6 linked regions of the Sus scrofa genome follow. The protein of the gene in region 1 purifies or fractionates together with the protein of each later gene. This does not show direct contact. Links are inferred from orthologs where the notes say so. Each region holds a gene or a part of one and is shown in the gene's direction. Other genes may lie near its edges.

Region 1 (5,050 bases):
GTGGAGTTTCTAAAAAGTAATATTGGAGTAGGGAAGATCTTTCAAATATGACATAAAAGTCCATAATCAAAGAAGGAAAATGCTAATAAATTTCAACTACATGAAAATAAATGATTTTTATATGGCGCAAAAAAACCTCACCATAAACTATGTAAAAAAATGCCTGAGGGATTCTCTTTTGGCACAATAGGTTAAGGATCTGGCATTGTTACCACGGCACCTTGAGTCACTGCCATGGCATGGGTTCGATCCCTGGCCGAGGAGCTTCCACATGCCATGGCGGCCAAAAAAAAATAACACGAGAAACTGGGAAAAATTTTAATTCACATAGCTGACAATTTCATATTAACTTCTAATGTGTTTAAGGCTATTAAGTATAACATTATAATAATAGTTTTTGGAAAATTGTGTCCTCCAGAACAGATTAAATAAATTGTGGTATATTCACAGAGTAGGAGACTATGGAACCATTGAGAATCAAGCAGGTACAAATTTATATAAAATAGCACTCCTAGAACAGTCTTGACATGTAGTAGATATCCTGTATATGTTTGTTAACAAATGAGTTTTTAAGCGAATAGCAGCAAAGTCTTAACATACCCTGTATAGAATGCTATTATTTGTGTAAAGAATATTTATGTATATACCCATTTGTTTATGCATAGAGCATAACAGGTAATTTACAAAAAAGTATATAGAAGGTTTTGGTGGATGAGAGATGGAGGAGGTAGAAGGTACAGAGACAGAAGGGTAGGAAATGCTTTTCGGTACCTTCTGAATTTTGTGACGTCCATTTTTAAACTGTTTAAATAAAGTATCAAAAAATACTGTATTTACAGGGATGAAAGCGAACCTGCTCAAATAGAAGATTCAAGTGTTGTTAAACCTGATGGCTGGCTTGATGATGAACCAAAATTTATTCCAGATCCTAATGCTGAAAAACCTAGTGACTGGTATGCCTTCTTCATCTTCAAATGTCAATTTTATATGTTTCTTGCCAGCTTTTTTGTTACTAGTTTATATGACTGACAGGAAAGACTTGAGTTTCCTAAATTTGCTTTGTTCTAATATCCTAAGGAATGAAGACATGGATGGAGAATGGGAGGCACCTCATATTTCTAATCCAGCATGTCGGGTTGGGTGTGGTGAGTGGCGAGCTCCCATGATAGATAACCCAAAGTACAAAGGGGTATGGAGGCCTCCAATGATAGATAACCCTAACTACCAGGTAACAACCACTTGTTCCAACCCATAGTAAAGTTTAAAATGTGCTACTTCTGTTATAGATCTAGTTACTGCTAATGTTATGTGAACTCTCAGAACTTTGATTTGTAATAGTGTGCCTTAACTATCTTAAGAAGTCAAAGAAAATAGACACCAACTAATTTACATTTAAAAAGTAAAGCATTCTTTATTTAATTTTCTGGGGGGGGGATAAAATTAACAACTAAAGATCAGTCACTTTATACTGTTTTTATCTTAGTAATCAACTGATGATCACTTTGGAATAAAATTTTATTTCAGAGTTATATTTAAGAAATGAGTTCTGATCAAGAGGACTCACAGGAGTTCCTGCTGTACAGAAGTGGGTTACAAATCCTACTGCAGTGGCTCAGGTTAGGTTCACAGCAGAGGCATGTTTTCGTTCTGTTTGGGAGCTCCCTTCCTGGGCTCAGTGGTTAAGGATGTGGTGTTGTCGCAGCTGTAGTGTCGGTTGCAGCTGTGACTTGAATTTCAGTCCTTGCCTGGGAACTTCCATATGCTGTGGGCGCTGCCAAAAAAGGAGAACTCATGTACATTTTAGTGATTTGAGTCAGTGCTGGATTAACATGCTCCTTACTCTGGCATTACTATAACTGGATTTTTTTTTCTAATAAGAATCAGATATTTTTTGAGTGTACCCTAGTTTGAGGTATACTCAAGTCCTGTGTTATCCCTTTAACCCTGTAGTTTTAGTTTTATCTGTCTAATTATTCATTGACATTTTCTTTTTTTTTTTTCCTTTTTTCTTTTGCTTTTTAGGGCTGCACCTGCGGCATATGGAGGTTCCCACACTAGGGGTACGTTTGGAGCTACAGCTGCCAGCCTACACTGCAGCCACAGCAATGCCAGATCCCAGCTGCATCTGTGACCTATACCACAGTTCACGGGAGCACTGAATCCTGAATGAGGCCAGGGATCAAACCCTCATCTTCATGGAAACTAGTTGGGTTTATAACCCACTGAGCCACAGCGGGAACTCCTTCATTGACATTTTCTGACATTTATCTTACGTATATAGTAATATACTTGAATTGCTCACTGTGGTTTTTCTTTGTGGTATTTATCACAAAAAGGCTTATTTTGGTAACTTTTTAAACATGTCCCTCATTAGACTTTAAGCACCATAATGCAGGGAACATGTCTGCCTTGCTTATCACTATATCCTAGCATCTGGCATAGTGCTTGGAGCAGAATAGATTGGGTTGAGTTGAATTGTTGAAGATCTAGTGAAACTTCCGTGTTGAATAATTGTTCTGAGATTCAATTATGATTGATTATTGATGCCTATCATGGCTATATGTTAAAAAACCATGGCTCCTGTTTTTGCCATAAGGTGATCTCTCTGATTTGAAGTTTTTAATGCTATCTTGACTTGAATATTTTTACTAAATGTAAAAAGACAAGCAACAAACAACTTGTCTAAAATTGTATCACTTGTGAAATTTACTCAATTTTCTGTGTGTGTTGGATTTTCACTTTTTTTTTCTTTTTCAGAGATTAAAGTCAGTATTATTCATAGGGAACATTGTGTACAGGGTAAAAAGAAATAAGATTTTATTTCCAGTGAATTATTAATGAATTAAATATCAGTTAAAGTTTTCTTTTTTTCAGTTAGTATTGCTAATTTAATTCAACAGCAGCTACTTCTTGAGTAACATTTACAATGAAATTATTTTATTTGAAAATGTCTTTATTTTTTCTTCCAGGGTGTCTGGAGTCCTCGAAAAATCCCTAATCCAGACTATTTTGAAGATGATCACCCATTTCTTCTGACTTCTTTCAGTGCCCTTGGCTTAGAGCTTTGGTCCATGACCTCTGATATCTACTTTGATAATTTTATTATCTGTTCAGAAAAGGCAGTAGCAGATCGCTGGGCTGCAGATGGTTGGGGAGTGAAAATAATGGTAGAAAATGCTAATGAGGTACATGATTTACCATATAGTAATAATAGGACTTGGTCCTGGTTATAAGTTATACAAATGATCTTTTAAAAGATAAATAAATGTGCAACAATGATTAAATGCTGAGGAAACATATTTAAATTAATTTATGTGAACAGAATATTTAGCTTTACCAAATCAGGGTACAACTTCATTACAGACTATTTAATGAACTTATGTAAGTCTTTATTTCACTTATTAAATTATGATAACATAATGGGATTTAATGCCTTTTGATGTTTATAGAAATGATACTACTCAATATCCTTGTCATCTTGTCAATTCAATGTTTAAATGGGAACAGTAATCTAAATATTCTTTATTCATTTTAACAACTTTTCACTTAGTGGAGTGCAGAAACTTTTTAAATTTAATATTATTATGCCCTGTTTTTTCCCAAAAATCTTAACATTACTTAAAAAATAGTAAATATTTCAACACAGTGCATCTTGGAGAATCTATCTTTAAAACCAGTTAAAGAAAAATTCATACTTTACATTTGGTTTCTTTGGATATTAGCAAAAACCATCAAAAGAGTAAGTAAGTAAAGGTAAAAGGATTCTCATTTTGAAACTCTTCTAACTAAAACATATGATGATTTTAGATTTTCTTTTAGTAAGAGAAACAATTTCCTTCCTGAAAGTTGTGTGTGAAATGTGTTAATAACCAAGAAGAAGAAAATACAGTAATTCTCAGGTTGATTTTTTTTTTTCAAGGAAGTCTTTTAAAGTACAGAGAGTTGTATAATTCTAAATGAACCAGATAATACACCTTTTTATTAGGGGTATTTATACTCTTTTATAAAGAGTAGTTCTGTCCTGAAACTTACCAATAAAGAAAAGTATCTTAACTCTTGCTGCTACACTAGCCAGGTCCACCTATATAATACAGCCTATCTTTTACTACCACTTGTCAGGAGCAGCACATGTGAGTAGTTAAAGATTATTTAAACTTTGTGAAGTATAAAATGGGAAAATAAAGTATTTTTTAGCTTACAAATTCGTGACTCCTTAATGTAAAACACCTAGGTGAAGTTAAGTTTTTTATTTTATATGCTGTGTTTCTGAGTGAAGGTTCATAGACTGCATTTCTGTTTATGTCTCTAGCCCAGTGTATTCAAACAGCTCATGGCAGCTACTGAAGCGCGCCCCTGGCTTTGGTTCATTTACCTTCTGACAGCAGGGCTCCCAATAGTGTTAATTACTTCATTTTGTTGGCCAAGAAAAGTAAAGGTAAAGAAAATGAATTTTCTTCAACATTTGACAAAAAATCACTTGATATTTAGGAATTTTGTGAATAGAGCAAGTGGTTCTTAAAAGTAATAAACTACATTGCCTAAAAGTTTTTACTGATAGTTCACTGTGTATATCAGTTACTGCAAAAAACCTTGCTTTTAGTAAAAATAGCTTGTATTAAACCACCACAGAAAAAATTCAAAGATGCAGAGTTCAAGAAAACTGACATATGTAAACCACAAACGAAGGGAGCACTAGAGCAAGAAGTGAAGGAAGAGAAAGCAGCCCTTGAGAAACCAGTAGACTTGGAAGAGGAAAAAAAACAAAGTGACGGTGAAGTTCCTGAAAAAGGTAAGATGATGATGGTGATTAATAGTGGGGACCCTGGAGGAAAATCATTAAAAACAGTAGATTATGGTGTTGCTGTTGTGGATCAGCAGGTTAAAAACCTGACATAATGTCCATGAGGATGCATGTTCCAATCCCTGGTCTTGCTCAGTGGGATCAGCATTGCTGTGAGCTGTGGTGTAGGCCACAGACATAGCTTGGATCCCGTGTTGGCTGTGGTGGTGGTGGAGGCCGCAGCTGCAGCTCTGATTTGATCCCTAGCCT
Region 2 (5,050 bases), on another chromosome or scaffold:
AGTGATAGAAATTTGTTAAGATGGAGATTTTATATGTGCCTGTTTAAAGATAGTGCTTAAATTTATCTCTACTTTGCAATTCATATGCAGTTCATAGTTAGGGTGCAAGTTTTTATATAAAAATAAAGGGATAAAAGCATCACTTCTAGATGATGACTATATGATTTTTTCTTTCATCAACATCTTTCTTTCTAGACCCCCCAAATGGGTACCTTCATGGGTGTCTACCTCCCATGTCTACAGAATATTTTTGGAGTGATCCTGTTTCTACGCCTTACATGGGTGGTGGGCACAGCTGGAGTTCTGCAGGCCTTTGCAATTGTCCTTATCTGCTGCTGCTGTGTAAGTCCCAAGTTGGCTCCTGGAGATCACCTGGAACACTGCTCAAGCTCGAGTATCATGCTTGGCCTCTTTGAGAATAAAACAAAGAATACATACTGGGGAAGGACTTGCCATCTCAACAGGAGAGATTATTTTGATATTAAAATCTAAAGGATCTTCAATTACTTAGTGTCAGTTATTTACTGTTTATAATATGATATACTTGAAATTACAAAGAAGGACTTCTATAAGAAGGAGAAGATACAGGTTCTGACTTCCAAAAATTCAGATACAAACTATTTGAGCTTGATAATACCAATGTTGTGACAGAAAATGTGTTAGAAAACATGATATGCTTACTCCAGTATAGTGAAGATTAACAAAACTGATTGTTGTTTGGAAATGAGAGGTATTTGTTTTGTTTTGAAGTCTCATCCATTGTCCTTTCCCCAGAAATTTGGGTATTGTTTCCAGATCTTCTCTTCACTACACTGAGAACATTCTGAACTTCCTTTAATTTAAACTTCTCTTATCTGTGTATCCCAGCCACATCTCTCAATTTTATTGTAAGTTGATTATTATAAATTTTTTAATTTCATTATTCAGCTGTCTACTGACCTTTTATTACTATCACCATCATACACTCCCTGTGCATTGTGCTCAGCTGAGTATTGTGCAAAGCAGGGTAAGGAGACATAGTCCATGTTGTTAGTAACTTAATGATACCACCATTTTTTTTTCAGTTTCTTAGTCTTGAAACTTCAGGGCCCTATTTGGTTCCTTGATTGCCTCTCACATCTCATGAGCTATCAAGACCAATCAAATCAAATCTCCCTCTGAAATCTCTTTCGTTCAACCCTTTCTTTATACTCCTACTTCTGCCACTGCAGTCCTTCCCTCTCTCTGAACTACAACAATAGCCTACTAACAAGTCACTCTGCCTCCATCTACTCCCTATCTGCAGTCCATTCTGTACTCTGCTACTACCAGGTAATGTTTTAAAATACAGTTCTTATGAGCTGGGCAGTCTTTAGTGGTTTCCCTTCTTACTGAATGTTGTTCTTGTTATTGTAGCCAGTCTTTAGTCAGTTTCTAATCTGTTTTCTGAGTTTTCAATTTAGGAGACCGGGACTAGATGAGTGGTTCTTAATAGCACCTAACCTACTGATTACAATATAGGAGTATTTTAGCAGAATTCTCCCGATACTAGTAGTATGATTGAAGCACATCAGTGCGTCAAAGCACATCATCTCATTTCCATGAAATTCGGTATGACAGGCAACCGCTTCCGTAAAAGTAGATAGAATTAGATGTTCGATCAGTGCTCTGAGGTCTGCAAATGGGAAAGTAGTATAGAAATACCATCTTTATACAGTAACGGTCTTCTCCTTTCCCTTTCTTTACAGACAATGTTGACTGCTATCTCCATGAGTGCCATTGCCACTAATGGAGTGGTGCCAGGTCAGTAGCTAAGACTGGATTTCAGAGATTGTATATTTATGCTGTAATGAGGCGTAAACTTCCAAGGAACAGAATACTAATTAGTATGTTGGCCATAGGCACTAACACTACTTGACTTTAGAATACCTTCTTTAAAGAAATCTCTTTATGTTTTAAGATTAAAAATCCCTTATTTCTGTTGCATTCTTAGCTTCTTTTCATTAGAATATATGTTTTATTCTGCTGTCTCATGCGTGTAATAATCCTCTGCTATTTTTTAAGTAATACTGACAAATTGTGCTGCTTTATATGGAGCATATTAGATGTGTCGTTTAAAGGTTTCATCTTTTACTTCCTACTAGGAAATCTGCTTTTTATCACATTTAGGGTTTTCAAAAGTCTGAATCAGTTATCTTCCTTCTTTATGACTTGCTGACTTTCCTAATACTAACATACTTTTTTTATCCTGTTCTTCTGTTGTGTCTTTTAGCTGGGGGCTCATACTTTATGATATCCCGAGCACTGGGCCCAGAGTTTGGTGGGGCTGTTGGCCTCTGCTTTTATCTTGGTACCACGTTTGCAGCAGCCATGTACATCCTTGGTGCCATTGAAATTTTTCTGGTGAGTAATGATTTAATTGTGGTTTACAGTGTAGAAAATATATAGATTTGAATGTATTTTTTTCTTTGGTATCAAAACTTCTGGAGTTCCTATGGTGACTCAGCAATAACGGACTTGACTAGTATCCATGAAAATATGAGTTTGTTCCCTGGCCTCACTCAGTGGATTAAAGATCTGGCATTACCATGAGCTGTAGTGTAGGTCGTAGATGTGGCTCGGATCCCATGTTGCCATGGCTGTGTGGTAGGCCGACAGCTGCAGCTCTGATTCAACCCCTAGCCAGAGAACTTCCTTATGCCGTTAGTGCAGCCCTAAAAAGACCAAAAAGAAAAAAGAGATGGAATTAATCAGATGACTGACTGTTAACCTGTTATTGATCACCAACTATAAACATGAGTCTGAAAGATGGAGGTATCCCTTGCTTGCCTACTCATTCTGCATCACCCTACCACCTTGACCCCAAAGATGAAGTCTCAGAGGCAAGACTTGGCTAATGGAGGAAAAGTAAAATAAAGTTTATCTTTTTTGATGTCTATCCCAATGAAATAAAATATTCTTTAGTTATTCACTGAGAGGTTTAGAGTAATGATAGCAGAAATAGGACTTAAGGTAATCATTACAATTATTTTGTATAACACTTTTTATAAAAAGTTTTATTGAAGTATAGTTGATTTACAATGTTGTGATAATTTCTGCTATTCAACAGAGTGATTCAGTTATACATATACACACATCGTTTTCTTTTCAGATTCTTTTCCCATATGGATTATCACAGAATACTGGATAGAGTTCCCTGTGCTATACAGCAGGTCCCCTTTGGCCAGTCATTACATTTATCACAGTTATATATGCCAATTCCAAATCCCCAATCCATCCCTTCCTCCCTATTTTATATAACACTTTGAATAAATTATTAACACAATCCTTGTTTTTTCCATTCGGAGATGTATTTAGAACAGCACATAGACTTAAGAAAAAAAAATCAATGACATCCCATTTCTGTAGGCATTTTAGATCCAAATAGAAATTAGGCTAAGTCTCCAGTCTATTTCTGTCTCAGTTTTGCTTTCCCTTATGAAAGAAACTGCAAACTACAGCTACCTTTTTAGTTGATTACTTTGAAATGACCTTATTTTCTACTTCTTTTGCTAAACAGGTATATATTGTCCCCCGAGCTGCCATCTTTCATAGTGACGATGCACTCAAGGAGTCAGCAGCCATGCTAAATAACATGCGGGTCTATGGCACAGCCTTCTTGGTCCTCATGGTGTTGGTGGTATTCATCGGTGTGCGCTACGTCAACAAGTTTGCCTCGCTCTTTCTGGCCTGTGTCATTGTGTCCATCCTGGCCATCTATGCTGGAGCCATCAAGTCTTCCTTTGCCCCGCCACACTTCCCGTACGTGTCTCTGACTAGCCATCATTATTGGGTAGTCATCAACAGTGATGTGGTCATTTCAAGTCATTTTCACAGTTTCTCAGAGATTTCCCTCTTGGATAAGCCCAGTTAGTATTTATGAAAGAAGACTCCCAGCAAACTGTGTCATGTCCAACCTCTTCCTTGTGTCCCAAGCATAAAACTGGCAACTGTGGTCATCATTTGGATGTAGATAGTAGTTTTTTCAAAACCTGCTGGCAATAATTATCTATATTTAAACTATTCATGAAAGGCTTTTCAAACCGCATAGTCATTACCAGTAACCTTTATAAAGTATTTGAATATTAGATTCCTTTTGTTAATGAAAAGTCAAGAGAGTCAAGGAAACTTACCTACCTAAGTATTTATAATTAAATTTTTAATTCTGCTGTTAGTACAGTAATGGACGTTTAGTCGTAAAGGGAATTGAATGTCATGTCATTTGCATCTCTCTCTCTCTAAATATAGATTATACTATTACTGTAAGTAGAGAAGGTACCTTAAGGTATATTTTATTTTTTTGAAGTAGAAACAGATTAGTACAGAAATATGACTCACACTCTCACCGTTTTCCATTTGATTAGTGGCATAGGTGCTAGCTGGCCCTGAGAGTTGTTTGTAATCTTACACTGATTGTCTTTGACAAATTGTCCGGGGGTCATCCAAGGATTAGACTCATCACTCCCAACCTTGATTTAACCTGATTACGTAAAAGTAGATTTTTCAAGATGAAAAACAGGTCCTTAGAGATAAAATGACTTGCCCCAAAGTTAATTAATGGCAGAGCAAGAACACAAACCTCGTGATTTCCTGATTCCCAGTCCAGTGTTTCTTGTACTATGCTAAATGATGTCAATAACAGACTCCACCAGAACTTTTTAGTTTGCTCATCTAGGGGCTGCCAAGTAATTGAAGATCCACTTGAGTCATAAAAGGCTACATTCTGGCTATATCTTAACTGGGAAAATTCCCTTCTGTCTCAAGTTCTCCTTTGATGCTTCTCTTCTTTTTTGGTGGGCAAAAGTTTGTGATGTGTGGTGTTTTCTTTAAAATATTTCAGCAAAGCAATTTTAAAAACCTAGAGGAGAATTTCCCATCGTGGTGCAGCAGAAACAAATCCGACTAGGAACCATGAGGTTTCAGGTTCTATCCCTGACCTTGCTCAGTAGGTTAAGGATCCGGCATTGCCATGAGCTGTGGTATTTAGGTCACAGACTCAGCTCGGATCCTGCGTTGCCATGGTGTAGGCCAG
Region 3 (5,050 bases), on another chromosome or scaffold:
ACGAGGACGTGGGTTTGATCCCTAGCCTAGCTCACTGGGTTTAGGATCCAGTGCTGCTGTGAGCTTCGGTGTAGGTTGCACACACAGCTTGGATCCCACATTGCTATAGCTGCGGCATAGGCCAGCAGCTGCAGCTCCAATTTGACCCCTTGACTGGGAACTTCCAGTAAAAAAAAAAAAAAAATTGAGGTAAAATTCACATAACATAAAATTAAACGTTTTAAAATTTTACTTTTTAATTAAAAAAATTAATGAGGAGTTCCAGTTGTGGCTCAGCAGAGACAAATCTGACTAGCATCCATGAGGATGTAGGTTCAATCCCTGGCCTTGCTCAGTGGGTGTAGGTCGTTGCCTTGAGCTGTGGTGTAGGTCACAAATGTGGCTCGGATCTGGCATTGCTGTGGCTGTGGTGTAGGCTAGCGGCTACAACTCTTATTCGACCCCCAGCTTGGGAACCTCCATATGCTATGGGTGCGGTCCTAAAAAAAAAGACAAAAAAAAAAAAAATTAACCATATTAGGAGTTTCCCCTATGGGGCAGTAGCTTAATGATCCGTCTTGTCTCTGTGGAGGCACTGATTCCATCCCTGGCCCTGCACAGTGGGTTAAAGATCCTCTGTTGCTTCAGCTGAGGCATAGGTTGAAGCTTTGACTCAAATTTAATCCCTGGCCTGGGAACTCTATATGCCATGGGTAGGAAGAAAAAAGAAAATGAAAACTAACCCTTTTAATGTGTACAGTTCAGTGGCATTTAGTAGCTGCACAACGTGGTGCAACCATTGCCTCTATCTAGTTCCAAAGCATTCTCATCACCCTGGAAGGGGCCCCCACACCCATTAAACAATTCTTTCCTTTCTCCCTTCACCCTGATCCCTGGAAACTACCCTATGGGTTTACCTATTCTAGACTCTTCATATAAATGGAATCATGTGGCCTTCTGTGACTGGCTTCTTTGACTCAACATTATGTTTTTGAGATTCATCCACACTATAGCATGGATTAGGACCTCGTTCCTTTTTAGGGCCAGATAATATGAAAACACCACACTGTGCTATCCATTCATTTGTTGATGGGCATTTGGGTTATTTCCAGCTTCCATCGATTGTGAATAAGTCTGCTCTGCATGCTCGCGTCCAGGTGTCTGTTTGGACACAAGTTCTCATTTCTCTTGGGCGGATACCCAGCAGTGGGAATTTCTGAGTCATATGGTAATTTAACTTTTTGAGGAACTGCCAAGCTGTTTTCTAAAATGACTGCACCACTTTGTAATCCCACCAGCAACGTGCTGCCTATTAGTTCTTCCGTGAGCCTGACTCTCCACATCATCATCAATGACCTTTGAGATTCAACCCCTCAGTTATAATTATATGCCAAGAACAGTGGGACTCCCATTTGATGGTGTTCAGGGAGTAGGAGAGAGCTGTGTAGTTGGCATACAGGGCAGGCACAGTTGTCGTATTTGCTTGGTGAACTTGCATTGCGTAGATATATGTGATCCTGTTCAGTTATGTCGTCTCATGAAAGTTCATTTATGTATCTTTTCAGGCATAGTTACACCAAAAGTAATCTATGAAGACGCAACTGACCTAGACAGAGTCATCACAAATACAGGTACTTTAATGTTATACTTTTATATCATTTCTTTTTTATTGAAATAAATTAAGCTTTTTGGGCTGTTTTCCCAATCTAAGTCCATTAATTGTTTTTTAAATAAATGTTATTGGCATATAGTTGATTTTATATTATTTCTGTGGGAATATATGTCCTTTTTTTTTTTTTTTTTACAAATAATATATAGTCCCAGAGGAAAATGCATTTTTATTAAGAATTATAGGAGGATCACAACTTTAGAAAGCTATCCCATCAATATTTTGCATATTGCTTATTCCATTAAGCATACTTTGGAGTCACCTCTGTGACCTTGAACCATACCCTCCACAGTCCTGGATTATGTGTGTTCCAGGGTCCTTCCTCATTCTCAGGGCCTATGGACCTTTTCTGAAATGTTTTTCAGATAGGTAAAGAATTACTGAGGATCCAGCTTTTTTTTTTTTTTTTTTTTTTGGTCTTTTTAGGGCCAGACCACAGCATAAGGAGTTTCCTAGGCTAGGGGTTGAAGCAGAGCTGTAGTTGTGGGCCCACACCACAGCCACAGCAATATGGGATCCAAGCCGTGACTATACCACAGCTCATGGCAACGCTGGATCCTTAACCCACTGAGCAAGCCCAGGGATCAGATCTGCATCCTCATGGATGTTAGATTCATTTCTGCTGAGCTGCAACGGTAACTCCAGATCTAGCATTTTCACTTCTTGCTTGCTTTTCCTTTTTTTGATAATTAAATTTTGATTGTGATGCAGCCAAATAAGGTACTTAGAACTTGGCCAATATTACCAACACTTTTTTTTTTTTTAAAGGGCCACACCCACAGTATGTGGAAATTACCAGGCTAGGGGTTGAATCCGAACTGCAGCTGCCAGCCTACACCACAGCCACAGCAATGCTGGATCTAAGCTGCATCTGAGACCTACACCACAGCTCTTGGCAATGTCAGATTCTTAACCCACTGAGAGAGGCCAGGGATTGAACCCATGTCCTCGTGGATACTAGTCGGATTCATTTCTGCTGTGCCACAATGAGAACTCCTGGGGTCTTTAGTTTTTAATAAAGGATACTACTTGTGTTTCAACATGTTGTAATTCTTGAACTCATTCTTTACTTCATCAGATATTGGTACAATATAGTAGTGTACTAGAGGCACATCCCTGCTCTTACAGAGCTGACATTCTGTTTTTTGTTTTTTTCTTTTTTCCTTTTTGGCCACCCTGTGACATATGGAGTTTCCAGGCCAGGGATCAGATCCAAGCTGCAGCTCCAACCTACACCACAGCTACTGCAGTGCCAGATACTTTAACCCACTGGGTCAGGCCAGGGATCAAACTTGTGGCCCAGCACTGCAGAGAAGCCACTGACCCAGTTCCACAGTGGGAACTCCAAGAGCTGTCATTGTGTAATCTTTCACTTAACATTCTTCCAAGCGTGTTCCATATTGAGCTATGAACCAGGCACCCAGGATGTAGGCATGAAAGGGAGAAACTTCACTCAGGATGTTGAGATGGTGTAGAGGAGGTGGCTCTGCTGACTTGGGTGGAGGCCTGGGGAAGGCCTTCAGAGGAAAAGTTGACCCTGTTGTGTTGGGGAGTTGGGTAGGCAGGGTGGGGTTGGGTGTGGGGGGAAGGCCACCCAGGCAGAGAAAACCACCAGTAATAGGCTTAAGCCCAAAGAAGGCCTTTAATTTATGAAAATATTGCTTTCTTTGCAGAAACACTTTTGAGTAGTGGACCAGCCGCCAGGAACGTGAATGTGGAAGAACATTATATTTTCAGATGGAATAATAATACAATCAGTGAAATAGATGTCAAAATTATTAGGGCAGAAATTAATGTCCACCAGAAAGGTAACTTTGTGGAGGGCAGCAAGAATGCTCTCAGTTTATTTTTTTGCTTTCTTCATGACTGTGGTAATTATAACAGATAGACTAATTCAGACTTGTTTTTCTTATTTGTATTCATGATTGAATCATAGAATTCTTTTTTTTTTTTTTTTTTTTTTTTTTTTTTTTTGCACATCGGAATGTAGTTGTAAAGAGAATAACACTATGAGGGGTCATTTCTTTTTCTAGTGAAATGTGACATCGTATTTTTATTTATTTATTTTTTTCTAGGGATCATGACACAGAGATTTTCAGTAAAATTTTTAAGCTCTAACAGTGGTACTGAGATGGAATCATCTGGAAATCCAGGTGAGGTAGTGGATGTCAATCACCGATCTCACAAACGTATTTTGGTTCAATACTCCTACACTGTAAGGGTGATTATAAATAACTCTCTCCAATTTTTTTTTTCAATTTTTTATTTTTATTTATTTGTTTATTTTTGCTTTTTAGGGCTGCACTCGTGGCATATGGAGGTTCCCAGGGTAGGGTTTGAATCGGACCTACAGCTGCCGGCCTACGCCACAGCCCCAGCAACGCCAGATCCAAGCTGTGTCTATGACCTGCACCACAGCTCACAGCAATGCCGGATCCTTAACTCACTGAGCGAGGCCAGGGATCGAACCCTCTACCGCATGGTTCCTAGTTGGATTCGTTTCCACTGCACCACGACGGGAACTCCATTCTCTCCAATTTTAGTTTGTGACTCAGACCTTTGTCTTTAAAAATAAAGACACAGTGTCACTTTGTGACACTGAGTTTTTTTCTGATAACTACTTAATTTTCTTACATAAACTGTATATTGTAAATGCAGGCAACAAAACTTTTTAGCTACTGGTCTTTTGAAAAAGAGGTAAGGCATTTGAAGTGTTGGTGAAATTAATTTTTTTTTAAATAAGCTGCAGTTGGTGGGTTCCTAAACTGCAATCCAGGGAGAGACTTCAGCAGGGACTGTGCACTTTTTGAATACATTATTTTCTTTTGGCCACATGCCCAAGACATGTGGAAGTTCCTAGGCCAGGGATTAAGCTACTGCCACAGCAGAGACACTGCTATAGTTATTCTAAAATCAAACATGAAGTTTGCATTATATTTCCATTGGACAACACTGGCTTAGACCAGAGTAGGTGTTCAGTAAATATTTGTTCAATAAACCTATCATTTTTTCTAAAAAAAAAATTCTCCCCCCTTTTACTATCCTTCATCAGGCAGTAATTAATCATGAAGGAACAACTTTTTTTACTTTTAAATAGCCTTATTTTTCATGCTCTTCAATATTTATATATACTGATTTAGTTATACATGATCCATTTTATATGTATGTATATACACACACACATCTATATATACATATACATACTTGTTTTCTGTTAAATCAGATTTTAATATACTTGCTAATGTGGAGTTTGGAGTTTATTGGTGGCTTTGAAAGTAGGCTCCTGGAATCTAAGAGTTTTTATTTCACTGACTTAATTTCACAAGATTTCTGAGAAACACTGTCAGAATAAGGGAAAAATGTTGACATGCTTGTCAAAAAAGAGTAAACTGCTTAAGAGCC
Region 4 (5,050 bases), on another chromosome or scaffold:
AAATTTGCCCAATAAGCCTAAAACAGCTTTCCAGAAATAAAAATATAGCAGCAAGTTATAATTTTCTTGATTGATTTTTATGATTCTCTTTCATTCAGAATGTTTCAAAATATTAGAAACTCGGAGTTCCTGTCCTGGCTCAGTGGTTAACGAATCCGACTAGGAACCATGAGGTTGCAGGTTCGATCCCTGGCCTCGCTCAGTGGGTTAAGGATCTGGCGTTGCTGTGAGCTGTGGTGTAGGTCTCAGACACAGACATGGCTCGGATCTGGCATTGCTGTGGCTCTGGAGCGGCGGCCACAGCTCTGACTGGACCCCTAGCCTGGGAACCTCCATTTGCCACAGATTCGGCCCTAGAAAATACCCCCCCCCAAAAAAAAGACAAAATATTAGAAACTAGGCAAGGTAATTTGGATGAATTTAGGTATTAAAGAGATAGATTTATCATAACTATTCTGAAAGTATGTTTAAATTGTAGACAACTGAAACTTTATGATGGATGCCATGTATACAACTATGTATGTTATAAACATTTGAATATACAAAAGTTAGGGAACTATAGGAATTTAGCTAAAGATACTTTAATATTTACCTCCCTTATATCTTTATTTTTCTGCTTAATTCTTTAGAATCCAAAGGCCCTGCTGCTCCTCTAAATGTAGCTGACCAAAAGCTTCTTGAAGCTAGTACACAGTTTCAGAAAAAACAGGGAAAGAATACAATTGATGTCTGGTGGCTTTTTGATGATGGAGGTAAGGTTGCTAACATTTTTTGACAAGTTTAAATTTTCTGAAGTTGTGGGGCTAGTACTAGGCAATGGCATGTACTCTTCACCCATAGACCCAGTTCCCATTAGGCCAATATTCCCAAAAGCAACAGGATTACTTCCAGAATCAGGCTTCACACTTAGTTGTCATATGTCTTCATTGTCCTTCAGTTTGAAAGTTGCTCAGTCTTTTCTTGAGCTTCATGACTTCAACATTTAAAAAAAAATATTATGGACCATTTTGTAGAATGTCACTCAATTTGGAGTGCTGTTTGATGATTCATCATAATCAGTTTCAAGTTACGTATTTTGGGTAGAAATATCACGGAAGTGATGCTGTGCTCTTCTGCCCTTTTCTCACCAGGTGACATACCATGTTGATTTGTTCATAACTGATGAAGGTAGCTTTGACCGTTGAGGAAGGTGGTTTTCATATACTGAAAAGTTATTGTTAACCCTTTTTATACTTACAGGTATTTGTGGGATGGGGAGTTACTTTGAGACTATATAAATATACCATTGTTACTGTGACTGCTGCCGCCATGTTTAGCATCCATTGATATTTCTACCTGAATTTATTCTCCCTGTTATTGTTATTGTGATGTGTCTGTGGTTGCCAAATGATGATTTTTCCAATCCTGTCATTTCTTCCTCATTTATTGCCTGGTATTTTATTATAAAGAAGAGTTTCCTCTTTATTTCTATCTATGTGTACTTACAGATTCCTATTTTATTTATTGGGTAAGATTTTTCATGCTTATTATTTGTTTTGATGATGACCCAGATTTGGCCAGCAGTATCCTTTCTAGGCTGACTCCTGTGTCCATTTGTCATGTCATTTATTTTCTGCAAGATGTTCCAGGCTCAGTTTTGTACTTTACCTACACCGGCCCTTGAGTCACCCTTTATCCAAAGAGCCTGATTCCTTTTAGTAGAGAGTGGTATTTACAAACAAAGGTCAGGGCTTTAGGTATGTCTGTTGCTGCTAGGGTGTCACTGTTCCCAGGCTCTGTCAGTGGACAGATCAAGGAAATACACATATGTATGTTTTCTTGCATATATACAGGTATAGATGAAACCACTTCCAGTCCAACACTGCAGAGTTCATGCCAGCTTTTTTTTATGTTTCTCATTTCAGTGAGAAACGGCTCACATTAGCTTCAATGAATATTCTCATTTCTTCAGTCCTGATGTGTAACTGTAGTCTCCTGACCTTGCCAGGCCATTAGTCCACTTCTCTGCCTTTCTCGCATGGCTCTGGCTCCACTGGGCATCCTTGCTTTTCCAGGCAAAGCCAAGTGGCTTTTTGTCTGAATTATTTAGGAAAGACAGAAAGATTTTATTTCATGTTGAGTTGGAGAAAATAGCAACTAACTTGAATTAAAAGTTCTTGATAGAGAAATTAGTGTTTAGGTAATGATCTGTTATGTTTTTATGATTCAGGTTTGACCTTATTGATACCATATCTTCTGACTACCAAGAAAAAGTGGAAGGATTGTAAGATCAGAGTATTCATTGGTGGAAAAATAAACAGAATAGACCATGATCGGAGAGCGTAAGTCTGTTTTAAATTGGTGAACATTTACCTAGTAGCACTTCGTTATTTCAATATAGATTTGATAGTATAAAATTAGACAATCCAGAAAATGTCATTTGCTCTGTTCTATGTGAAGCTGAAAATTCTAGTCAAATGAATAAAACCTCATTCTCTCTTGTTTTCATGTTTGTTATAGATACTTCATTTTACTTATATGTAATATTTTTAATATAGTGACATTTTAGAAGAACTTTAAATACTTGTGGCTTTGAAGTATTAAGCACATTTTTTAAAAATAGAAAGTGCACAAAAGTGGCATTCATATGGTATATTTTGTAGACTTCTAGACAACAGAAATACAGAATAGCATTGTCCATTGTCTTATTTCTATCTCTCCTATCACACTGCTAGTGCTGGTTTCACTACTTCTTGAAGTCCTCTGTGTCTTGTCTCTGACCATTTAATAATATACTGTGCACACTGCTCCCAGTTTCACATCTGGAAACTGGAGCTTTCACCATGTCATGCCTCTGCCCCGAATACTTTTAACTTCTTCTCTGTTACATACCATGGAAAGTCTGTGTGACAGTCAGGCCCTTCCCTTAAGATCTGTCCACCTGTTTCCTTTCTGTCTTTATTTCCTGTTTCCCCAAGTAAGCCTTATTATACCTCAGTTTACATTTCTGCACCTGCCCTAAACATATAGAGGATTTCAGACTTAATTCCCTATACTTACCAATATAATTTGAATAAAATTTAACTTTTAAAAAACTAGCTGCCATTCAGATTTCATTATTAATGTCTCGTTCCTTCCATTCATTTTTTTTTTTTTCGATACTATGGAGAGATTCAGAGAAATCAACAGAATTCAAAACAAGTTTCTACTCAGAGAATGTAGGTGTCTGCTTTATGAATGTATCACTTGAAGTAATTCAGGACGACTTTGTTTAGCACCTGATGGACTTTTCCTATAAATCATGCTTTTCAGATGTGTGGATTCAGCCCTAAGTAGAATAAAAATACTACTATATATAGCCTTCACGTATCACAATACTGTTCACTTTTGTTCTAGGATGGCTACTTTGCTTAGCAAGTTCCGGATAGACTTCTCTGATATCATGGTCTTAGGAGATATTAATACTAAACCAAAGAAAGAAAAGTAAGTTATTGGATAAATTACTTTATACAAATTTCTAATTGACCTACTCAGAGACTCTAACAGATCACTTAATTACTGTTACATGTGAAGTCAACCTGTTTTTAATATATAGCAGATGGTATTCCTATTGCAGGTACTGAAGTAAGCCCAAAGAGTTTTCAATATTTAGAGATGAATTCTATTACTACTTTGCAAGTAATTTCTGAAACTCGTTAGTGCCACAGAAATTCCACATGGTTTTTAAATTTCCATTGTTCACCCCATTGTTCATTATGACCACTTAATCCCTATTCCGCATATATATTACTTTTCACTATTTTATTACCAAAATAGGGGGGGAAAAATCTAAGAATTTGCCTATAGTAATCACATTCAGAAATCTCAGAGAGTCAAAAAAAAGTAGACTTGTGGACTATTCTACCTTAAAATGGTATATGGAAGTTGTTACAACTGTACATATTTATATTATTATACATAATTTTAATTACTTCCAGATATATGTTAGCTATATGATGAAGCTGGCATAAAGAATTCATTTTAAGTAGAAAACAGCTATACCTTTGAGGTTGTAATTAGGGAGACATTTGTTTTTATTTTTATTTTTATTTTTTTATTTTTTTGTCTTTTTTGCCATTTCTTGGGCCGCTCCCACGGCATATGGAGGTTCCCAGGCTAGGGGTCTAATGGGAGCTGTAGCCACCGGCCTACGCCAGAGCCACAGCAATGTGGGATCCTAGCCGCATCTGCGACCTACACCACAGCTCACGGCAACACCGGATCCTTAGCCCACTGAGCAAGGGCAGGGATCGAACCCACAACCTCATGGTTCCTAGTCGGATTCGTTAACCACTGCATCACCATGGGAACTCCGGAGACATTTGTTTTTAATAGAACAATATATATACACCAGGAGCTTTCTATGAGACTTGATACTGAAAAATACGTTTTCCATGTTTATAGGGGATTAGAATGCTATTAATAAAGCTTTTTCTATCTTTTGTCCTACTTGGGTACCTTTGGATCTAGAGCTTAATTTTGCATCTTCTCAAATGTTTAAGATCTGTACTTTCCTCCATACGAAATGTTCTTAGTACCTTTTCTTAACAGTACTTCTATTCATTGGTACTTAAACTGGGAAAGTTACTGAGTGTTTCAAGTAAAGGAGTAACAATTTTACCTCCTACTTAAAAGGCTATTTTAGCTATGTGATGAAATTTATTTAGGTTGAGGAGCATGGGCTGGGAGCAGGAGCAGTTACAGGGAGATCTGCATTAGCAGTTGGTATGGCAATTCCTTTATTATGAATATGGTTCTAGTTTCTATTCAGTTAAGAGAAACTAGTGATTGTTATTTTCAAAATAAACTGCCAGAGTGATGGTTACAGTTAGGGTATGGAAGGGACCATAGTACTGGAAAACACTAACTTCTGAAGTTATAATTACACTAACTTTTCAAGTTAACTTTAATGTTTAAGATCTTACTGTTAAGTAATTCAAAATAAAGTTAATTATCTTTATTCTCTATTTTTTTTAAGTATTGTAGCTTTTGATGAAATGATTGAGCCGTATAGACTTCATGAAGATGATAA
Region 5 (5,050 bases), on another chromosome or scaffold:
TGGGAAGGTCTTTGCCTTCTCTCCTCCAAACCCAGGGGGCTTTTCTCACCCCTTGGCCTTCATGCCCTGTGCAACTTTTTTTTTTTTTTTTGCTTTTTGCTTTTTAGGACTGCACCCGCAGGATATGGAAGTTCCCAGGCTAGGGGTCCAATCAGAGCTACGGCTGCTGGCCTACACCATAGCCATAGCAACATGGGATCTGAGCTGAGTCTGTGACCTACACCGTAGCTCATGGCAATGCCGGATCCTTGACCCACTGAGGGAGGCCAGGGATCCAACCCACAACCTCATGGTTCCTAGTCGGATTCGTTTCCACTGCGCCATGACGGGAACTCCACGCCCTTTGCAACTTTGACCTCTGCTCCTTCCTTTCCCAGCTCCTGCCGTGGTTGGCTGTGGACCCAGTTATGCTTTATCTCTCTGCTCTGCTTCATCCTTGCTCTTCATCTTCCTCTTGCCTCTTTTTAAAATTTTTATTTATTATTTATTTTTTTAGTAGAAAAAGTTGTCGTTTTGTTTTTTGCTGCTTTTTTTTTTTTTTTTCTTTTTCCCTGTCCTTTGTCTTTTCAGGGCCGCACCCGTGGCATATAGAGGTTCCCAGGCTAGGGGTCCAATTGGAGGTATTGCTGCCAGCCTACACCACTGCCACAGCAACACGGGATCCGAGCCATGTCTGCCACCTGCACTACAGCTCATGGCAATGCCGGATCCCTAACTCACTGAGTAAGGCCAGGTATTGAACCCGCCTCCTCATGGATGCCAGTAGGGTTTGTTAATCACTAAGCCATGACAGAACTCCTTTGCCTCTTTTTAAAATGTTTTTTTTTTTTTTTCTGGCCTCCCTGTGGCATATGGAGGTCCTGGACCAGGGATCAGATCTGAGCTGCAGTTGCCACCTAAGCCCAAGCTGCGGCAATGCCAGATCCTTAACCCACTGTGCCAGGCCAGGGATCGAACGTGCATCCCAGTGCTCCCAAGATGGCACTGATCCCATTGTGCCACAGCGGGAACTCCGCTTTTGCCTCTTAACTGTCTCTAACCCCTACTCCTCTGACCCTGTGGAGAGCTTAACCTCTGACCCTGTAGTTTTGGGGGATCCCCTGGGCCCACAAGTCCTTAGCCTCTGTATCTTGTCCCGGCTTCTCTACTTGGATTCTTATCAGCTCCCAAATGGCCACACAGTAGGCCCATTCCTTTCCCTGCCCTGCCACCCCCAAACCAGCTTCCCTTTGATTTCTTTAGGACTCTAAGATAGTATTTCTATTTATTTATTTTTAATTTTTTTGCTGTGCCCATGACATAAGAAAGTTCCTGGCCCAGGGATTGAACCAGAGCCACTGCAGAGCCAACTCTGGATCCTTAACCCACTGTGCCACAGTGGGAACTCCTGAGATAATCTTTTTAAGATACAATTTCATTAATGTAAAATATACTTAAAGCAAAGTGCACAAATAATGAGTGCATTATGTAATTAAGAATTTTCACAAACTCACTGTGAAGTAACCAGCACTGCTCAGATCAAGAAACAGAACGTTGGAGTTCCCGTTGCGGCTCAGTGGTTAATGAATCTGACTGGGAACCATGAGGTTGCGGGTTCGATCCCTGGCCTTGCTCAGTGGGTTAAGGATCCGGCATTGCCGTGAGCTGTGGTGTAGGTCACAGATACGGCTCGGATCTGGCGTTGCTGTGGCTCTGGCATAGGCTGCGGCTATAGCTCTGATTGGACCCCTAGCCTGGGAACCTCCATATGCCATGGGTGCGGCCCTAGAAAAGGCAAAAAGACCAAAAAAGAAAAAAGAAACAGAACATTAACAGAACCCAGAAGCCCCTGGAGCCCCCTTCTGGTTTGTGCTGCCCCCCACCTCCAGAGCGATCACGATCCTGACTTTTAAACCGTAGATTCATTTTGCATGCTTTGAACTTTGTATAAATGGAATCATAGAGCTTTTTGGAGTCTGACTTTCCTTTAACCTTATGTTTGTAAGGTTCATCCATATTGTATCATATTCCACTGGGTGAATAAAGCACAGTGTGTTTACCCATTCTGCTGTGGGTGGGCATTTGGGCAGTTTCCAACGTTGAGCTAGTATGAAGAGTGCTTCTAAGGAGGTTCTATTACATCTTTTGGCCGACACACACACGCATTCCTGGGAGGTGTGTACGTAGGAGTGGAATTGCTCTGTGTGAATATTCAGCTTTACCAGATACTGCAAATGGTTTTCCAAGGTGGTTGCATTAATTCAAGCGCCCAGCAGTGGTGTGTGGGGACCCAGTGGCTACGTGTCATGACCGCCGCCTTGCTACCCCATGGTCAAGCTGAGATTTCAGTGTCCTCTTTGTCTTCTTCCCATCTTTTCAACTCTGCTCAGCCTGGTACTGAATGAGAGGATCCCAGAGGTGGGTCCAGCCCAGCCGGGCTCTTGAGGAGCTCCCAGTCCCTTAGGGAGGTGGCCACATAAACAATGACGACAGAGCAGGAAGGGGGTTTTGGGAAAAGCCTGGGAGCTCAAAAGAATATCTCCTGGAGGCTCCATCGAGTATGTGAGTGGGTATGAGTGTGTAGGGCTTTGAAGATTTGGGGACCTCCAGGGAAGCCAGAACATTCTTGGATTGATGTTCTCCAAGCACCACCTTTGTTCTTCTCCCCGAGTCAAAGCGGCCAAGTTGGGGTTGCTCTCACATCTGCCTTCTCCCTCGCCTTTCTTTCTTCTCCTTCCCAAGGCCCAGCCCTGGCTCAGTCCTCTGTTACATTTCCAGCTGCCTTCTCCCTGGCTCCTCTTGTGTCCCCCGTCCCCTGTGTGGTGTAGATTTGGCCAGGTGCCTGCCCTAGGCGCGCTCCTCTCTCCCTCTGCTTGGTCCCAAGCTCCTTCCTTAAGGCCCTGACCTGGCCGGGCTGCTCTCTCCCCAGCGCGGGCACTGGCCGCACAGGTTGCTACATTGTCCTGGATGTGATGCTGGACATGGCGGACTGTGAGGGTGTCGTGGACATTTACAACTGTGTGAAGACCCTCTGCTCCCGGCGCGTCAACATGATCCAGACTGAGGTGAGGGTGCAGCCCTCTCCCCACTTCTTCTCCGGGACTAGGGTCCCTTGTGCAGGAGCTCGAAGCGGGGCAGTGTGTTGGACGGGTGTCCTAGGATTTCCCCTTGTTCTTTTGTGTCCTTGAACTTGGCCTGCCGGCCTCTCAGGGTCTTCCCAGACTCAGCTCCACTGTGTTCGGTTGGGTGAGGAGGTCAAGGAGCACTGGGCCAAGGTCATAGGTTCTGCAGTCAAGACATAACGCATGCTGGCTTTGTCTCCTCACTAGATATGTCACCTTGGGTTGTCCCCTCACCTTCAGAGCTTCTCATAGGGCGATTATAGGGATGGGATATGATGTAAGTGAGCAAACTTAGCCATGAAGGTCGGTTCACATATAGGTGGCCCAACCTGAGGTCACGTGGTTGGCCGCCACCTCAGAACTCCCCAGCCTCAACCTTGAGCTTGCCTCCCCGGCCACTACCCCCAAATCCCTGGCTTTTGGTCCCTTCTGGGTTCCTCATATTCTCACCTCCTGTTCCAGGAGCAGTACATCTTCATCCACGATGCAATCCTGGAGGCCTGCCTGTGTGGGGAGACCACCATCCCTGTCAGTGAATTCAAGGCTACCTACAAAGAGATGATCCGCATTGACCCTCAGAGTAATTCTTCCCAGCTGCGGGAGGAGTTCCAGGTGGGGCATGAGTGTGTGTGTGGGTGAGTGAGTGAGCATTTGTGCATGTGTGTGTGTCTGTGTGTTTGTGTGTGGTGTATTGGGAGGTCCTCGGTGCTGTGGGAGTCACTGCGAGCCAAGCAGGATGGACAGAGTTGGGCTACCAGGAGGGATTTTGAGACAGTGGAGGAGGTGGTACATCTTAGAGATTAAGAGCCCAGGCTTTGAGGTCAGATAAACCTGAGTTCAAAGCCTGCCTTTGCCTAGTTAAGAGCTGTGAATAACCTCGCTAAGCCTCAGTTTTCTTACCCAACAAAGAAGAAGATAGCTAATATTGCCCTTGCAGTGTTTGTCTTCCTTATGATTCTTTTGCTTGCAAGTGACAAAGATCCAGCTCAGTGGCTCTTGTAACTAAAAAGTCTGTGGATGGTCCAGCTTCATTTATGGCTGGAACCAGGGTCTCAAATGATGATGCCAAGATTTGGTCTCGTCCATTTTTGGTTTCATGCTCCTCTGTTTTTGGCTTCTTTCTCAGATCCACACCCTGGCCCCCGTCATCTTTGCTGTCAAGAGACTCTAAAAGGGGGTACTTCCTGCTCCCAATAGCCCCCCCAAAAGTCCCAGGCCAGACTCTCATGAGCCCATTTCTGAGCCAGTCACTGGGACCAGAGAGATGGAGCCCAGTGATTGGCCCATGTGTGGTTCTGGGGGCGGGGCAGGTCGCTCTGTCACATGACTAGGATGGGAGAAGCCTGGTTCTTAGGAGAAATTGGAATGTGGCCACTGGGTGGGGAGAGACCCAGATGTTCTTTCCACTCCGGGGTTCCTATGAGGGTTCAGAGGCACATGCCGGGTGCCTGGTGCTCTAGAACTGGCACAGAGTGATGACACAGGAGGTGCTGCACTGATTCTTGGAGGAGGATGCTGATCTCTGGGGATCACGTTAGGGAGCCCCAAGCAAGAGAAAGAAAGAAAGACTCTGTGAATCAAGGTGCGTGAGGCTCGAAGGTGGGAGGGAGGGGACCCAGTGTCCTTGGCTTGCTGTTGTGCCCGGTGTTCCTTGACAGGGCTGTGACTGCGGAAGGGGACCACCAGTGCCCAGTCCCCAGAGTCCGCTTTGCGGAAGATGTGGGGTTTGACTTCTTCTTCTCTTTTTTTGTATTTTGTCTTTTTTTTTAGGGCCGTTCCGGTGGCATATGGAGGTTCCCAGGATAGGGGTCTAATTGGAGCTGTTGCTGCCGGCCTACGCCAGAGCCACAGCAACACCAGATCCGAGTCGCATCTGCAGCCTACACCACAGCTCACGGCAATGCCAGATCCTTAACCCACTGAGTGAAGCCAGGGATCAAACCCGCAAC
Region 6 (5,674 bases), on another chromosome or scaffold:
AAGCAAAACAAAACCCAAAACGACCGAACACCAATACAGTAAATTTAGCACATTAAAAACAGACGGTTTCCCCCCCCTTAAAAGCAGCTCCCTGCCCCCTCCTCTCAACTTCCTCATCTTTTAAAGCAGTATCTTCCTTGTCAGGTTAAAAACTATCTTTGTTAAATTCCCCTCATCAGCTTTCACTCTCCCAAGACCCAATTAATCATCAAATCCTATCAATTCTTCCTTTATAACCTCTCAGAAATCGCCCTCCAGTTCTTTTCTATTCAGCAGCACAGAAAGAGATAAGGATCTGGTTCTCTGGTTGGGGGGGGGGGGAAGGGAGATGAGAAACATCATACACACGTGAAAAACTTTTTATAGAAATAAGAGAAATATTTTGTAAATGGGGGGGGGGGCAAATAAGCCTTATATACAGACCCTGCCACTGCCTTTGTCTCACAGCAATCCAGGGCAGTTGGAGGGCCTTCCTGCTGTCCAGGGGCTGTGCTGAGCCCATTGAGAGTCCCCTTTAGGCCACTCTGACTCAAGCCACCCCTCCATAAATGAAGCAGCACGTCTTCCCTTTCAAATCAGCTAATCTCCACTCAGAGCACAGCACATATGTAACCAATCTCAACTAGTGTTGACACCATTTAATAGGGATATGTCATCATAATTTAAATTTTTATATGTTTGTATTTTACCTCCACCTGGACAGAAGCTCATTCTTCTGTATTCTTACTGCCCCTCCCTTTCCCCATAGCAACCAACACGGGGTTCTGCTGTTTGTAGTCTCTAAATAAAATAAATGTGTGTTAAATCATAGAGTCTTAGAATTTGAGAGCCGGGAGGAATCGTAAGAATTTCTCTTGACCAATCCTTTACTTGATGAAGAAACAGGTCGAGAGAGATGAGTTGACTTGCTCAAAGCCAGACAGCTGGCTGGTGGCAAAGCAAGGGCCAGAACCCCGGTTTCTCCTGCTTTAAGTCTGTACCTAAGTGGCCCTTAGATAATCAGTGACAGAAATATACGGCTTCACGCAAGGTCTCCTGGGGATGGTGGTGATGCGGGTGCTTCGCTTTATTGAAACATTTACGAAGATTCCCTTCATCGCCTCGCAGGACCTCCTCGGACTAACTCAGCTGGGTGTTGAGCGGAGTCACAAGTTGCGTGCTGCCCTTGCTTTCGAGTCCGTCGGCCTAATCTCGGGGCTTTTTGACAGGAGGGCCCACCCGAGGGCCCCGCACACAGGGGCTCCCCCTTTCGGCCCTTCCCAGGCTGCCGCCTGTCACAGCGGCCGCGCGGCCCGCCCCACGTGGACCCGGCTCGGAGGATCAAAGTCTGTTTGCTGCCGGGCCCCGTAGGTGTGCTGGGAGCTGCGAGAACCCGCAGCGCCAGAGCAGGAGCCCCGCCACGCCGGGAGGACCCCGGCTGCCCCGCCCCGCCCCTCCCCCTCCTGCTGCACGCGGCCCGCGCCCCCCACCCTCCCCCACGACGCCAGGCGCTGCACCCGGCCGCGGCCCCCGGCCCACGCCCGGCTCCTGAAGGGAAAGGCCCCGCCCCTATCTGTTAGAGCCACGACACCGCCCCCTCCCGCCCCGCCGGGCTCCATCCAATAGTGAGCGCGGATAGGCGGGGCGCGGCGGCTGTCGTGAGGAGGTCCTGGCCAATGGGGAAGCATGCCGGGCCTGGTGGGCGGGGCGGCGAGGCCTTGTCACGCTCGGGTCCGTGTGAAAACGGGGGTTCCGAGTGCAAAGCAAAGTTTTTTTGTAAACCGTCTGCAAAGGCGGGGGGGCGAAGAAGGCGCCCGACACCGGGCCGAGTGCAGCTGCGGTTGCTGCCGCCTCTTCAGCTCTTCAGGCGTCGGCTCCTCGGTCCGAGCCACACCGGAGGGAGACCTGAGAGAGGGAGACCTGCGCGGAGAGCCGGCAGATGCTTGGAGTCTTCACAGCGCAGAGCTGCCCGTCGCCCGCCCGCTCCTGCTCCGGCTCTTGGTCCGCGGGCTCCGGGAGCCCCAGTTCCCCACCTCCGCCGCCCCGCCGTGGGTGTGGGGGCTGCTGGGGCTGAGCCGGGCCTCCGCGCCGGCTCCGAGGACAGACGCCTGAGGAGCTGCGCGCCACCGGCCCGCCGGGGACGCCCGCAGGCGCGGGGGCGCGGCGGCTTGACCCCGGGCTCGCCCCTGTCCGGCGGCGGAGGCCCCACCGCAGGCTCCCGAGCGGCCGGGCTCCGGCGGTGAGAGCCCGGCGGCGCCCTTCCTCCTCCGTGGCCGGGCCGCCGGCCCTCGGCGCCTCGCCGCCGCCGCCGCCGCCTCACGAGTGTCCGGGCCGCGCTCGGCGGGCCCCTAAGCCGCAGCCATGGGGTGCTGGGGTCGGAACCGGGGCCGGCTGCTCTGCATGCTGTTACTGACCTTCATGTTCATGGTCCTGGAGGTGGTGGTGAGCCGGGTGACCTCGTCGCTGGCGATGCTCTCGGACTCCTTCCACATGCTGTCGGACGTGCTGGCGCTGGTGGTGGCGCTGGTGGCCGAGCGCTTCGCCCGGCGGACCCACGCCACCCAGAAGAACACGTTCGGCTGGATCCGGGCCGAAGTGATGGGGGCTCTGGTGAACGCCATCTTCCTGACCGGCCTCTGCTTCGCCATCCTGCTGGAGGCCATCGAGCGCTTCATCGAGCCGCACGAGATGCAGCAGCCGCTGGTGGTCCTCGGGGTCGGCGTGGCGGGGCTGGTGGTCAACGTGCTGGGGCTCTGCCTCTTCCACCATCACAGCGGCTTCGGCAACGACTCCGGCCACGGCCACTCGCACGGGGGGCACGGCCACGGCCTCCCCAAGGGGGGCCGCGGCAAGAGCAGCCGCGCCGGCGGTAGCGACAGCAGCGCGGCCCCAGGGGAGCAGGGAACCGACCAGGAGGAGACCAACATCCTGGTGGCCAAGAGCAGCAACTCCAACGGGCTGAAATTGGACCGGACAGGTGAGGTGGTCGCCGCCGCAGGTGGTTGGCCCTGGGGAGCCCAGACCCCGGGTGGCCCCGGGCGGGGTGGCCCGCACGCCCCCTGGTGCCCAGCGGGCCGCGCCGCGCCGCACCGCCGCCTCGCCGCTCCTTCCCGGTCCCGCGCCCGCCCAGAAGGCGCGGAAACGCAGGTTTCCCCCTTTCAGCCTGGTGTCATGAGCCCGGGGACGCTTCGGGGGTTGGGGGGTGGGTGTAGACGAGGCATCGCGGCTGTGAGAGCAGACAAAGGTCAGGGGTGACCGTCAGCCCCCTGCTGCCCGCACCCCACACTTGGCTGTCTTCTCAGGCTGCCGTTTCAAGAGAGTGTCTGATTTGGGCGTTAGCAGGATCCAAACTGCTTCCTAATTCAATTTCTTGACCCTGTCGGCCCACGGAGAGAATCCCCCGCTGGTCCTTAGTTGTTGGCTGTTTGGGACCTTGCTCTGCCCAAGTAGTTCTGAGGCCCTTCCAACAAGTTTCTTGATGTATCCCGAGCCAGCTATCTAGCGATTGACTTGCCTGAGTTCAAAACCCTGGTTCAAGGTTCTTCTTAAGAACAGCCGTGTATGTTTCAGGTAATTTTCTAAAATCTAAACCAAACCCTGAAAATCTTAGACTTCGGACCTGTCTGGGCATGTTTAACATTTCACTTAGGAATTTCCATAATCATACGAAGATAAGCGATGGTAATTCAGCTTATATTTTTAATGGACAGTTTTCATTCTAAACAGTAAGTGCTTTTGAAGGAAATCTGGGAAATGGGCGTTGAAGGCGACAGAAAAAGGAATCTATCTAATACCTGACTACCCAAGCCCAGGGATGTTAACAACTTGTGTATTTCCTTCTAGATTTTTTCCATATATATTTATTCACCTAGTTTTATGCTACATAGACAGCTTTCCTTTATCCAAGATGCAGGATGTTATGTTAATGAAATTCAGGTTGTACTTTGAAGAGGTTTCGTAAACAACTGCATATCCTCTCACTCCCCCTCTAGTCTGCAAGGTGTCATTCCAAAGAAAATTAAGCTGCTCTGGTGTGTATAATTCTTTTAAAGGATCATTATGTTTGATTTAGGAAGTAGTAATGATAATGATAGTTCCAACTTTTCTTTAAGTCTCTGTGATTGTTGATAGGTTTATATTGTTGATGTGTTAGTTTCTAAACCCATTCCATTAAGAGACTCATTTATATAAATGACAAAAATGTAAAAGTTAACACCTTAATGACAAAAGATGGCTAAAGAACTGTGTCAAATTAGCCATTTGCATTAGACTTATCCATAGTTGCATTTAATTTGGGGTGATAGTGTCCAATTTAGTTTTCCTTTTGGTATATGCCAAAAAGCACACACACACACACACACACACATACAGAAAAGATGAACCTTTTTTTTGAAGTGGTAGTGTTGGACAGTGAGTGGCTAGGAGTGTTGGGGAAGCAATATCATCTTAATGACTTAATTTAGCCTGGCCATTCTGTCCTGGCTTGTTCCCAGTATGTCAATTTATATTAGATTCCTGAGCACATTTTTAAATTATGTTTTGTGAAAAATGTTCACTTCCATTTCTTAAATGGAATTAGGCAAGAATGTTTATATAAACATTTTAGATGTGTGTTTGATACGGAATCTTTATTTCTTTGTAGATCCAGAAAAGTCCAGAAGTGATGCAGTGGAAGTACAAGTGAATGGGAATCTTATCAGAGAACCGGACCAGGTGGAATTGGAAGATGATGATGATAAGGCTGGACAACTTAACATGCGTGGAGTTTTTCTGCATGTCTTTGGAGATGCTTTGGGTTCCGTGATTGTAGTAGTAAATGCCTTAGTCTTTTACTTTTCTTGGAAAGGTTGTCCTGAGGGGGAGATGTGTGTGAATCCATGTGTTCCTGACCCCTGCAAAGCATTTGTAGAGTTAATTAATAGTACTCATGCAACAGTTTATGAGGCTGGTCCTTGCTGGGTGCTATATTTAGATCCAACTCTTTGTATTGTAATGGTTTGTATACTTCTTTACACAACTTATCCATTACTTAAGGAGTCTGCTCTTATTCTTCTCCAAACTGTTCCCAAACAAATTGATATCAAAAATTTGATAAAGGAACTTCGAGATGTTGAAGGAGTTGAGGAAGTTCATGAATTACATGTTTGGCAACTTGCTGGAAGCAGAATCATTGCCACTGCTCACATAAAATGTGAAGACCCGACATCGTACATGCAGGTGGCTAAGACCATTAAGGACGTTTTCCATAATCACGGAATTCACGCTACCACCATTCAACCTGAATTTGCTAGCGTAGGCTCTAAGTCAAGTGTAGTCCCTTGTGAACTTGCCTGCAGAACTCAGTGTGCTTTGAAGCAATGTTGTGGGACACGGCCACAAGCCCAATCTGGAAAGGATGCAGAAAAGGCCCCGGCAGTTAGCATTTCTTGTTTAGAACTTAGTGACAATCTAGAGAAGAAGCCCAGGAGGACTAAAGTTGAAAACATCCCTGCTGTTGTGATAGAGATTAAAAAAATGCCAAACAAACAACCTGAATCATCTTTATGAGTCTCGAAAAAGATGTGATATTTGACTTTTGCTTTAAACTGCAAGAGGAAAAAGACTCCATTGAAACTCTATGTTTGCCAAGTAGTGTAATTGAAGTCCTTGTCTGGTCACACAGTTTAATTCTATTTTTGTAAGAACATAATGGGGC

The links.
Region 2: the proteins of CLGN (region 1) and SLC12A6 purify together in Homo sapiens (affinity purification with mass spectrometry; 3 studies listed by BioGRID and IntAct, with this or other methods). This does not show direct contact. The link is inferred for Sus scrofa from reciprocal best matches to the Homo sapiens genes CLGN and SLC12A6.
Region 3: the proteins of CLGN (region 1) and TCTN2 purify together in Homo sapiens (affinity purification with mass spectrometry; 3 studies listed by BioGRID and IntAct, with this or other methods). This does not show direct contact. The link is inferred for Sus scrofa from reciprocal best matches to the Homo sapiens genes CLGN and TCTN2.
Region 4: the proteins of CLGN (region 1) and SLC12A2 purify together in Homo sapiens (co-immunoprecipitation; 3 studies listed by BioGRID and IntAct, with this or other methods). This does not show direct contact. The link is inferred for Sus scrofa from reciprocal best matches to the Homo sapiens genes CLGN and SLC12A2.
Region 5: the proteins of CLGN (region 1) and PTPRU purify together in Homo sapiens (affinity purification with mass spectrometry; 3 studies listed by BioGRID and IntAct, with this or other methods). This does not show direct contact. The link is inferred for Sus scrofa from reciprocal best matches to the Homo sapiens genes CLGN and PTPRU.
Region 6: the proteins of CLGN (region 1) and SLC30A1 purify together in Homo sapiens (co-immunoprecipitation; 3 studies listed by BioGRID and IntAct, with this or other methods). This does not show direct contact. The link is inferred for Sus scrofa from reciprocal best matches to the Homo sapiens genes CLGN and SLC30A1.

What each region holds. Positions count from the first base shown.
Region 1 is NC_010450.4:86,665,674-86,670,723, forward strand, and holds part of CLGN (calmegin), read left to right. Parts: intron 1-839; coding exon 840-953; intron 954-1,077; coding exon 1,078-1,228; intron 1,229-2,969; coding exon 2,970-3,185; intron 3,186-4,309; coding exon 4,310-4,435; intron 4,436-4,629; coding exon 4,630-4,789; intron 4,790-5,050. UniProt on the Homo sapiens protein: Functions during spermatogenesis as a chaperone for a range of client proteins that are important for sperm adhesion onto the egg zona pellucida and for subsequent penetration of the zona pellucida.
Region 2 is NC_010449.5:80,240,430-80,245,479, forward strand, and holds part of SLC12A6 (solute carrier family 12 member 6), read left to right. Parts: intron 1-195; coding exon 196-342; intron 343-1,727; coding exon 1,728-1,782; intron 1,783-2,251; coding exon 2,252-2,382; intron 2,383-3,538; coding exon 3,539-3,780; intron 3,781-5,050.
Region 3 is NC_010456.5:29,315,281-29,320,330, reverse strand, and holds part of TCTN2 (tectonic-2), read left to right. Parts: intron 1-1,544; coding exon 1,545-1,610; intron 1,611-3,321; coding exon 3,322-3,456; intron 3,457-3,723; coding exon 3,724-3,801; intron 3,802-5,050.
Region 4 is NC_010444.4:131,099,215-131,104,264, forward strand, and holds part of SLC12A2 (solute carrier family 12 member 2), read left to right. Parts: intron 1-629; coding exon 630-752; intron 753-2,209; coding exon 2,210-2,321; intron 2,322-3,375; coding exon 3,376-3,462; intron 3,463-4,996; coding exon 4,997-5,050. UniProt on the Homo sapiens protein: Cation-chloride cotransporter which mediates the electroneutral transport of chloride, potassium and/or sodium ions across the membrane. Plays a vital role in the regulation of ionic balance and cell volume.
Region 5 is NC_010448.4:86,213,696-86,218,745, forward strand, and holds part of PTPRU (receptor-type tyrosine-protein phosphatase U), read left to right. Parts: intron 1-2,908; coding exon 2,909-3,044; intron 3,045-3,563; coding exon 3,564-3,713; exon of another isoform or gene 3,714-5,050.
Region 6 is NC_010451.4:131,631,259-131,636,932, forward strand, and holds the start of SLC30A1 (zinc transporter 1), read left to right. Parts: upstream 1-2,327; 5' UTR 2,328-2,340; coding exon 2,341-2,956; intron 2,957-4,621; coding exon 4,622-5,526; 3' UTR 5,527-5,674. UniProt on the Homo sapiens protein: Zinc ion:proton antiporter that could function at the plasma membrane mediating zinc efflux from cells against its electrochemical gradient protecting them from intracellular zinc accumulation and toxicity.